Drosophila melanogaster: one gene and its partner. The protein of the gene in region 1 interacts with the protein of each later gene in a pairwise test. Each region holds a gene or a part of one and is shown in the gene's direction. Other genes may lie near its edges. The genes, in order: djl and RpL22-like.

The links.
Region 2: the proteins of djl (region 1) and RpL22-like interact in a two-hybrid assay, tested with the Drosophila melanogaster proteins (one large-scale study listed by BioGRID).

The regions. Positions count from the first base shown.
Region 1 is NT_033777.3:7,058,859-7,062,657, forward strand, and holds djl (don juan like), read left to right. Parts: upstream 1-1,908; 5' UTR 1,909-2,032; coding exon 2,033-2,126; intron 2,127-2,181; coding exon 2,182-2,948; 3' UTR 2,949-3,061; downstream 3,062-3,799. Other genes in the region: dj (don juan), read left to right, coding at 610-633, 712-1,344; Mst84B (Male-specific transcript 84B), read left to right, coding at 3,462-3,799.
Region 2 is NT_033778.4:23,246,094-23,249,756, reverse strand, and holds RpL22-like (ribosomal protein L22-like), read left to right. Parts: upstream 1-1,863; 5' UTR 1,864-1,979; intron 1,980-2,031; 5' UTR 2,032-2,033; coding exon 2,034-2,972; 3' UTR 2,973-3,147; downstream 3,148-3,663.

The DNA.
Region 1 (3,799 bases):
AACTTTACAACTAAAACAGAGATGAAGAAATGTGCATTTTTTGCTTCTGAAATCAAGTGTGGGCGTCTCTGAAGTCCCGGGAACTCATCGTTTATACGGACAGACAGATGGACGGAAGGACATTTTCAGATCGTCTTGGGTTATGGTCCTAAAAGTATAATAAGAAACGCTTCATTCTTCCACTTTTCTACAAATATACCCTTTAAATATTCTAGTAAAATTCTTTAAGTGTAAGAAATAATTTTCTATATGGTTTAATGAAGTTTGTTTTGCTTTGCAATTCGTTTTATTTATTTCTAGCAGTCAATTAAGTTCTTTTGGATCTAAGAGTTTCGTGGGAGACGATAAATTTCTCATTAGATTGATTTTGATCTGATGATCTGAGATAATAATGTCAGTTAAACTTGTATAGTTTTGGGGGCAGGTTAGATCTCAGATTCAGTTTAGATCCTGATTCCACAGACAAATAGTCTCCAGCTGTGGTTTTTTCAAAATTCTTTGTAAAACTTTTGGTACAAAATTTAAAAATTTTTCTCGAAATGTTTAAGAGAACCGCTTTAATTTTACGTCGGTGCTTTCAGCCCACTTTTATACGGCCTCACCACATCAATGTCCTTGAGAACTTTAAGGAAGGTATGCAGTGAACTCATATGCCTGGTTACCACTTGTTACTGTTAATACTACTTCACAACCGATGACCTTCCCAATCAGGGGCAAGCAAAATTTGTCGATGTCTCTATTCACGATCCGCAACACATTCGTTCTGCACTCGTCAGTCCAATGCAACGAAAGTTCTTGCAAGACCTGGAGCAGCAACAGACTGTTAGGATCAAGTGGTTTAAGGAAGGGAATCAGGATGAACTTGAAAACATGAAAAATGAATGCCGGAGGCTAGCTCTAGAAATCATCATGGCTGCTAAAGGTGGCGACATCAAAAAAGCCTGCAAGGAACTGGCTGAAAAAGAAAAGTGCAAGCAGATAGAACTGAAAAAGAAATGCAAGGAATTGGAGAAGAAGACGAAGTGCGCGAAGAAAGACCCTTGCAAAAAGAAAGATCCTTGCAAAAAGAAAGATCCCTGCAAAAAGAAAGATCCTTGCAAAAAGAAAGATCCTTGCAAAAAGAAAGATCCCTGCAAAAAGAAAGATCCTTGCAAAAAGAAAGATCCGTGCAAAAAAAAGGGTGGGGACCTAAAAAAGAAGTGCAAAAAATTGGCCGAAAAGGAAAAGTGCAAAAAACTGGCCAAAAAAGAAAAAATGAAAAAGTTGCAGAAAAAGTGCAAAAAAATGGCTCAGAAGGAAAAATGCAAGAAAATGGCTAAAAAAGACAAATGCAAGAAAAAGTGAAGCTTTCGCGGATTATTCAATGAAATACATACGTACCTGGTTTAATTCATTCAGCTCTGTTCAACGCGGCTTTATCTAAAATATGGTTTTTTCATAATATACAATACGGCATTTTACCGAAAAATTAGATTTTATTTATTTAAAAAAATAACAAGGGGGAAAACAGTTAATGAGCATGTAACCCCCAGCTTTCGAGTAATGAGTCCGTGGCAAGATTTCGTCGTTCATACGGACAGACTGATAGTCAGACGGTCATGTTTGTTAAGGAATCTATCTATATATATATATATAGATTTATATATCATATAAATAAATATGATTTAAAAAAAAAGAACATTGCTTTTATAAACGTAAAGTTTGGAAGTATTTGCGGCTTAAATATGTAATTAGAAATTAGTGAAGTGTGATTACCGTTGAAACGGATCTGAAATCACATATTCCTTTTAAAGTTTAATTCTATTATTATTCATTGGTCAGTAGGAATCATTCAGTTCCTTCTGAACTTCGCCTAATGTGTAGCTTAAGAAATCACATTAGATAATTTTTAGCACTTCCACAAGTTTTCTTAGACGAAAACGTCAACATGTTTGGGTAGTGTTCAAAAATTGTGAAGTTTGGTTATTTCCTTTGCTTAGCTTTTCGTTAAAAATTCATTTTCCACAAGAAAAATTCTAAATTTACCGTTATAATGCTAAAGAGACCTGCGTTAGTTTATCGGTGCCTTCAGACTTCTGTTAAAAGGTCCTACCATCTAAATGCACATGAACATTTAAGAAAAAAAGGTAAGAGCTCAAACGGTGACCTCTTAAATAGATAACTTATACTTGTTCGTACTAGAAATTCTCAAGCCCGAAAGCCAGCCTAGTCAAAAGCATAAGAAATTTGGAGACGGCTCCATTGGAGTGATTCATGTGATCAAGAACGAATATTATGGGCTCCCCAATCCCATGCACCGAAAATTCCGGGAAGATCTGGAGAAACACCAAGACCGGAGGAAGGAATCAAACCTTTCGTTAAAGGAAGAAAAGCGTGAAGATCTTGAAAAGATGCTAAAGGAATGCCAGAAGCTTGTCAAAGAAATCACCATGCAGGCTAATGATGGCGATGTTACGAAGATCTGCAAGGAACTAGCCCAAAAAGAAAAGATGGACAAGGAAAAAATAAAGAAAAAGTGCCGAGAGCTGGCAGCAAGAGAAAAATGTGAAAAGGATAAGCTGAAAAAGAAGTGCAAGAAGTTGCTCAAGAAGGATAAGTGCAAGAAAAAAGATACTTGCGAAGAAGAGAAGCCTTGTGAAGAAGAAGATCCTTGCGAGAAAAAAAGCTGTTGCCCCAAAGATCCTTGCGCTAAAAAACCCAAGAAAGTTGACCCCTGCAAAAAGAAAGATCCTTGCAAAAAAGAGGATCCATGCAAAAAGAAGGCTGTAAATTGGAAGAAAAAGTGCAAGGAGGTTGCGGAGAGGGAGCAATGCAAAAAGCTGGCCGAGAAGAAGAAGTTTAAGAAAATGATAAAAATATGCAAAAACCTTGCGGCGAAGGAAAAATGCAAAAAAATGGCCGAAAAAGAGATGTGCAGGAAAAAGGCCAAAAAGGGGAAAAAGAAGTAAATGGACCGATCAAAACTAGCGCGGACTCATCAAAAAATCAAAAATATGGAATTCTTTAACATGTTTGATTGATTTGTGGTTAATAAAAACTTTTCCCATCTGGCTTTTCAGTTCGTAAAGTGTTCGAAAATTCTATATATTATCCCGGAATATATACCGTATATATCGTATAGTCAAATGCAACCTTATGCCAAATAAGACTTTCTTGAGAATGAGTAGCTTAACAATAAAAAACCTGGATTTTCAGTATATGCCGTCATGATTTGTCTTAGCCGTCCTAATAAAAAAAATTCAGTATATCGACTCCGCATAAGAATATTATTATTTTAATAATAGTCTACTTCACTATTTCACACACTTACTGTGATAATTACGTCAAATACAGGCCCATTTACTTCCCAGTTTTCGGAACATAATGGCGCAGATCGGGTCGAAATCCTCTTAGTTTTTGCATTTTAACCCGATTTGTTCTTAAAATTATCTGTTAAATTTTGGAACCAAAGCATAAAAAACATGTTGAAAAGAGCCTCGCTGGCGTTGAGCCACTACCCTGATGCCTGTTTCCGTGTCTGCAATTGTAGCAGGTGTCTCCGGATGTATCACATAGTGAAATGCATGAAGGATCTGAATCTTGTGCAGAAATCAAAACAGGACTATGGGAGAACGCCGAAAGAGCTGCAGAGCGTGTTGATTTGCCAGGAAGGCCGGTTTTCTAAACTTACTCATGCTTCTGCAAAAAAAATGTATGATTCTCGTCTTTTGTCTTCAGGTACTTGTGATACACTTAGCCATCGACTCGATCAGCCGTTGAGAAGTGCGTTCCTGGAAGACCTGGAGAAGCGGCTGAACCA
Region 2 (3,663 bases), on another chromosome or scaffold:
GCAAATTCCCGGTATAAATCAGACCATTTTAAAAGCATTTTCCGCCCCTTCACTCTACATGACTGCCGTCTGGACTCCTCGCAAGATCGTGCTGCCTGCCTGCCCACCTGATGTCGAAGTGATCGATGTCCCTGGACAGCCGTTGCCATCCATAACGAGGCAAACTCCCAGGCCAAAGACGCCTCCGCACTGCCAATCCCATTTTCCGCTTTCCATCCGCCCATTTGCTACCGTTTAGCCAGATTGATTTCGGGCCAGAAGCCGCACGACTCCGCCGATCATTCCTCCCACTTTTCGCAGGGGGCGGAGGGCCGTCACGCCCACCGTTGCAGTTTTCCCATCGCCCAATCGCCAATGCCGGGCCCATCAATCAACTTCGAGTGCTCGCAGTGAGCGGGAGGTACTCCACTTGCTTCTACCTGCCTCCGAATCTCTGCATCTCCGAATCCGCGAGGAGGACGCGGCAAGAGGCTGCGCCTGGGAGCGCTTTTGGTTGTAAAAATCGTTTCGGCATCATTTTTCATATCCGCAACCGAAACAAAACCGCCAAAAAAAAAAAGAACCAAAACTACCAGAAAACAATATCCAGTCGGCGGCTGGGAAATCGAGTAGCATCCTAACTGCAGGAGCTTCATGCGGCGTTGGAAAAACAGTGGTACGTACCCGAAATACCCTAGGGTTGACTTCTCCAATCTCTATTGCGAGTATGGAAAGGTCATATAAATGTACCAAAGTCGCCCTAAATCTCACTCTTTTGGTTTCTTCTTTTATTATAAACAATTTAGGATGATCCAAAGTCCATTTGAATAGTAATACCCTCTGTTAGGGTATGAGAAGGTGGATAGATGGGCTTGGGTTATGTTTCGGTGGCCAGGGGTGCGTATACGTGATCGCTGCATTTCTTTGGACGTTCCGCGACGCTTTGTTTGCGCTGCCATCGACACCCCTGTCCCGCCCCTCCTGCCATCCTTTTTAAGCCTTGTTTGCTCTTGGCAGTGGCAAGCGAAAGAGACGGCTGCAACGAGACAGAAAGAGACAGCACGAGGGAGAAGGTTTCGATGTAGCGCGAATTTGTTGCAATTTCTCATTGTCAGCGAACGCGTTCGCCGGTAAGTTTTGATTAAACGCTCCGCGGGAATTCACTTTGGCTTGCACTTTTTGCTTTTGTTTTTATTTTTTATTTTTCCTGCCGATAGGAGGTGGCATCTCCCATCCACAATCCCAAATCCCAGTTGGTGGCCAACTCTTTCATTTGAATTTGATAAATGGCGCTCGTTGCAAAGCGATATGTTATGCAATTTAGGGATTTCCTTGTGGCTTAAAAAATATTGAAGCGATAGCTAAATGTTTGTACAACTCGGAAATAAATGAACTGGCCGACAAAGAGAGTGGAAGGTGATGACACTTTAAACAGGCTTTCGGAATTCAATTTGCCTAGCATTGGGAAAAGTTGAGCTATCTCTGTGGATTCATGTGGATTCCACTTTGGTAACTTATCTCGAACCTGTGTGCGCAAGTTTAAATCGATTTCGATCCACCACAATACCCTATAATAAAAGAGCTTAAAAGGGAGCTGGTATAATATGAAAACTACAAATTACTGAGGCCGAACTGGAGGCGAGACGACAAACAAGGCCAAATTGATCCCCGGCTGACAAGCGGTAATAATAATTTCGTGCCAATTAATCAGCGTTAAATCAGAGCGTCAACATCCCAACCTGCTCCACACTCATTTCTCGTGATTTCACTTAAAGATTTCCTGTTTTTTTTTCACAAACATGCCGCCCAAGATAATCGAATAATTGGCATTCGCATTCTACGTAAGCACAGTCGATTGTGAGCAAGGTCACACGGATCGCAAATGCAGTTACTTTCTGATTGTTGCTACACTTGGCCACTCTAATTCTTTTCCTGCCAAACTTCAACGGAGGAAGTCACGTGGTGTTTCTAAACCTATTTTTGATACTAATTTCTTTGGAGTAAGTTAATTGTTTCAAAATTTTAGGCGTGTGCTCATGTTTTGCCATATAGGAATGAGTTCCCAGACGCAGAAAAAGAATGCTTCCAAGGCCAAATCGAAGGCGGGCCCACAGCCGTCGAAGAAAGCCCCGGCTAAGGTGACTCCTGTAGAAACCGCCACCCCATCTGCGGCTCCGCCTTTGTCCTCTAAAAAGGTGGCCAAAGCTCCGGCCGTGGCACTAAAGAATCTCGATTTGGCCATGAAAGAATCGGCTAAGAAGGCCGCCGAAGCTGCTGACCAGAAGTTGGTCTCGAAGGCGAAGAAAGGCCAGAATGCTTCACGCAAGAACTTGATGCAAGTGCCGGAACCCGTTGCCCCTGAGGTGGACAATAAGAAAAAGTCTGCGCCTCCTAAACGTGGCAATGCGGAAATACCCACGGTTGTCCCCGCCAAAAAGGCCGCCCTGGTGCAAGAAAAGCCCAAGGAACAAGCTGCCGCAGCACCAAAAGCCGAAAATGTCGAGGTTCCAGCAGCCAAAGCTAAAAGTGTAAAAAAGAGCCTCGCCACTCCGGCAAATCCGAAGCCCAAGCCGAAACGCACGAAGAATGTTCTGCGTGGAAAAAGGCTGGCCAAAAAGAAGGCTTGGCAACGCTTTGTGATCGACTGCGCATGCGTGGCCGAGGATATGATCCTGGACCTCGCCGACTTCGAGCAGTATTTGAAGACCCACATCAAGATAAAGAACAAGCTCAACCAGCTGAAGGATCAGGTCACTTTCGAGCGCACCAAGAACTTCTCGCTGATCATCCACTCCGGTGTGCACTTCTCCAAGCGCTACTTCAAGTATCTGACCAAACGGTATTTGAAGAAGGTCAGCCTGCGTGATTGGTTGCGGGTAGTGTCCACGGCCAAGGACACCTTCGCCATGACCTACTTTAAGATTCAGGACAAGGACTTTGATGACGACGACGACGACGTTGCCGACGACAATGGCGGAAAAACCTTTGCCTAAAACAAAGATCGCATTTCGAAAACATGTATATCCCATGAAAGCTGTTCAAGTGTGTAGACTTCTTAAATTTCTCAGTATACTTCTGTTAAATTTCCCACTTGAAGTTTCACTAGTTCTCAATGTGGCTCATACAATTTTTGCTCATTTGCTTCAACATATTCAACGATGAAATATCAATAAAAAAAAAAAAAACCCTAACAAGAGTATATCATATATGTATGTATTCTCATCCGAAGCTGCAGAGTTCCCTTGAAGAACTTAAAGATTTCATTTTACGGTCAGTTAGGAGGAAGGAGCGGAGCGTTCCTCGGTCGAATCGACTTAAACTTGAACGATTGACATCTCGGAGAGGGCCTCGAGTGGCATTCGTCATGTTTTGATTGGGAGGAGCCAGTCTTGTTTTCCTTACCTTTTTACGCTTTTGTAAATACCTTAAATTGCCCCATTGGACGGGATTGTGTTCGATGCCAGGCGGCTTAATTGCTTCGCTGTGGGTCTGCCAAATGGACGAAACCATGGGTGGGGATCAGAGGGTGCTCCTCTGTCAGCAGTTGGCCCGGCCTGGCCGTAGGTGGTCCATAACGAGCTAATGAAATGCGAATCCAGCCAAAATGCGAACAGCGAGGCAGCCCAGTGGAGTGAGTCAGGCAGGCAGCTGTCAAAATCGAAATCAACCTGAGCACTCGCAGGT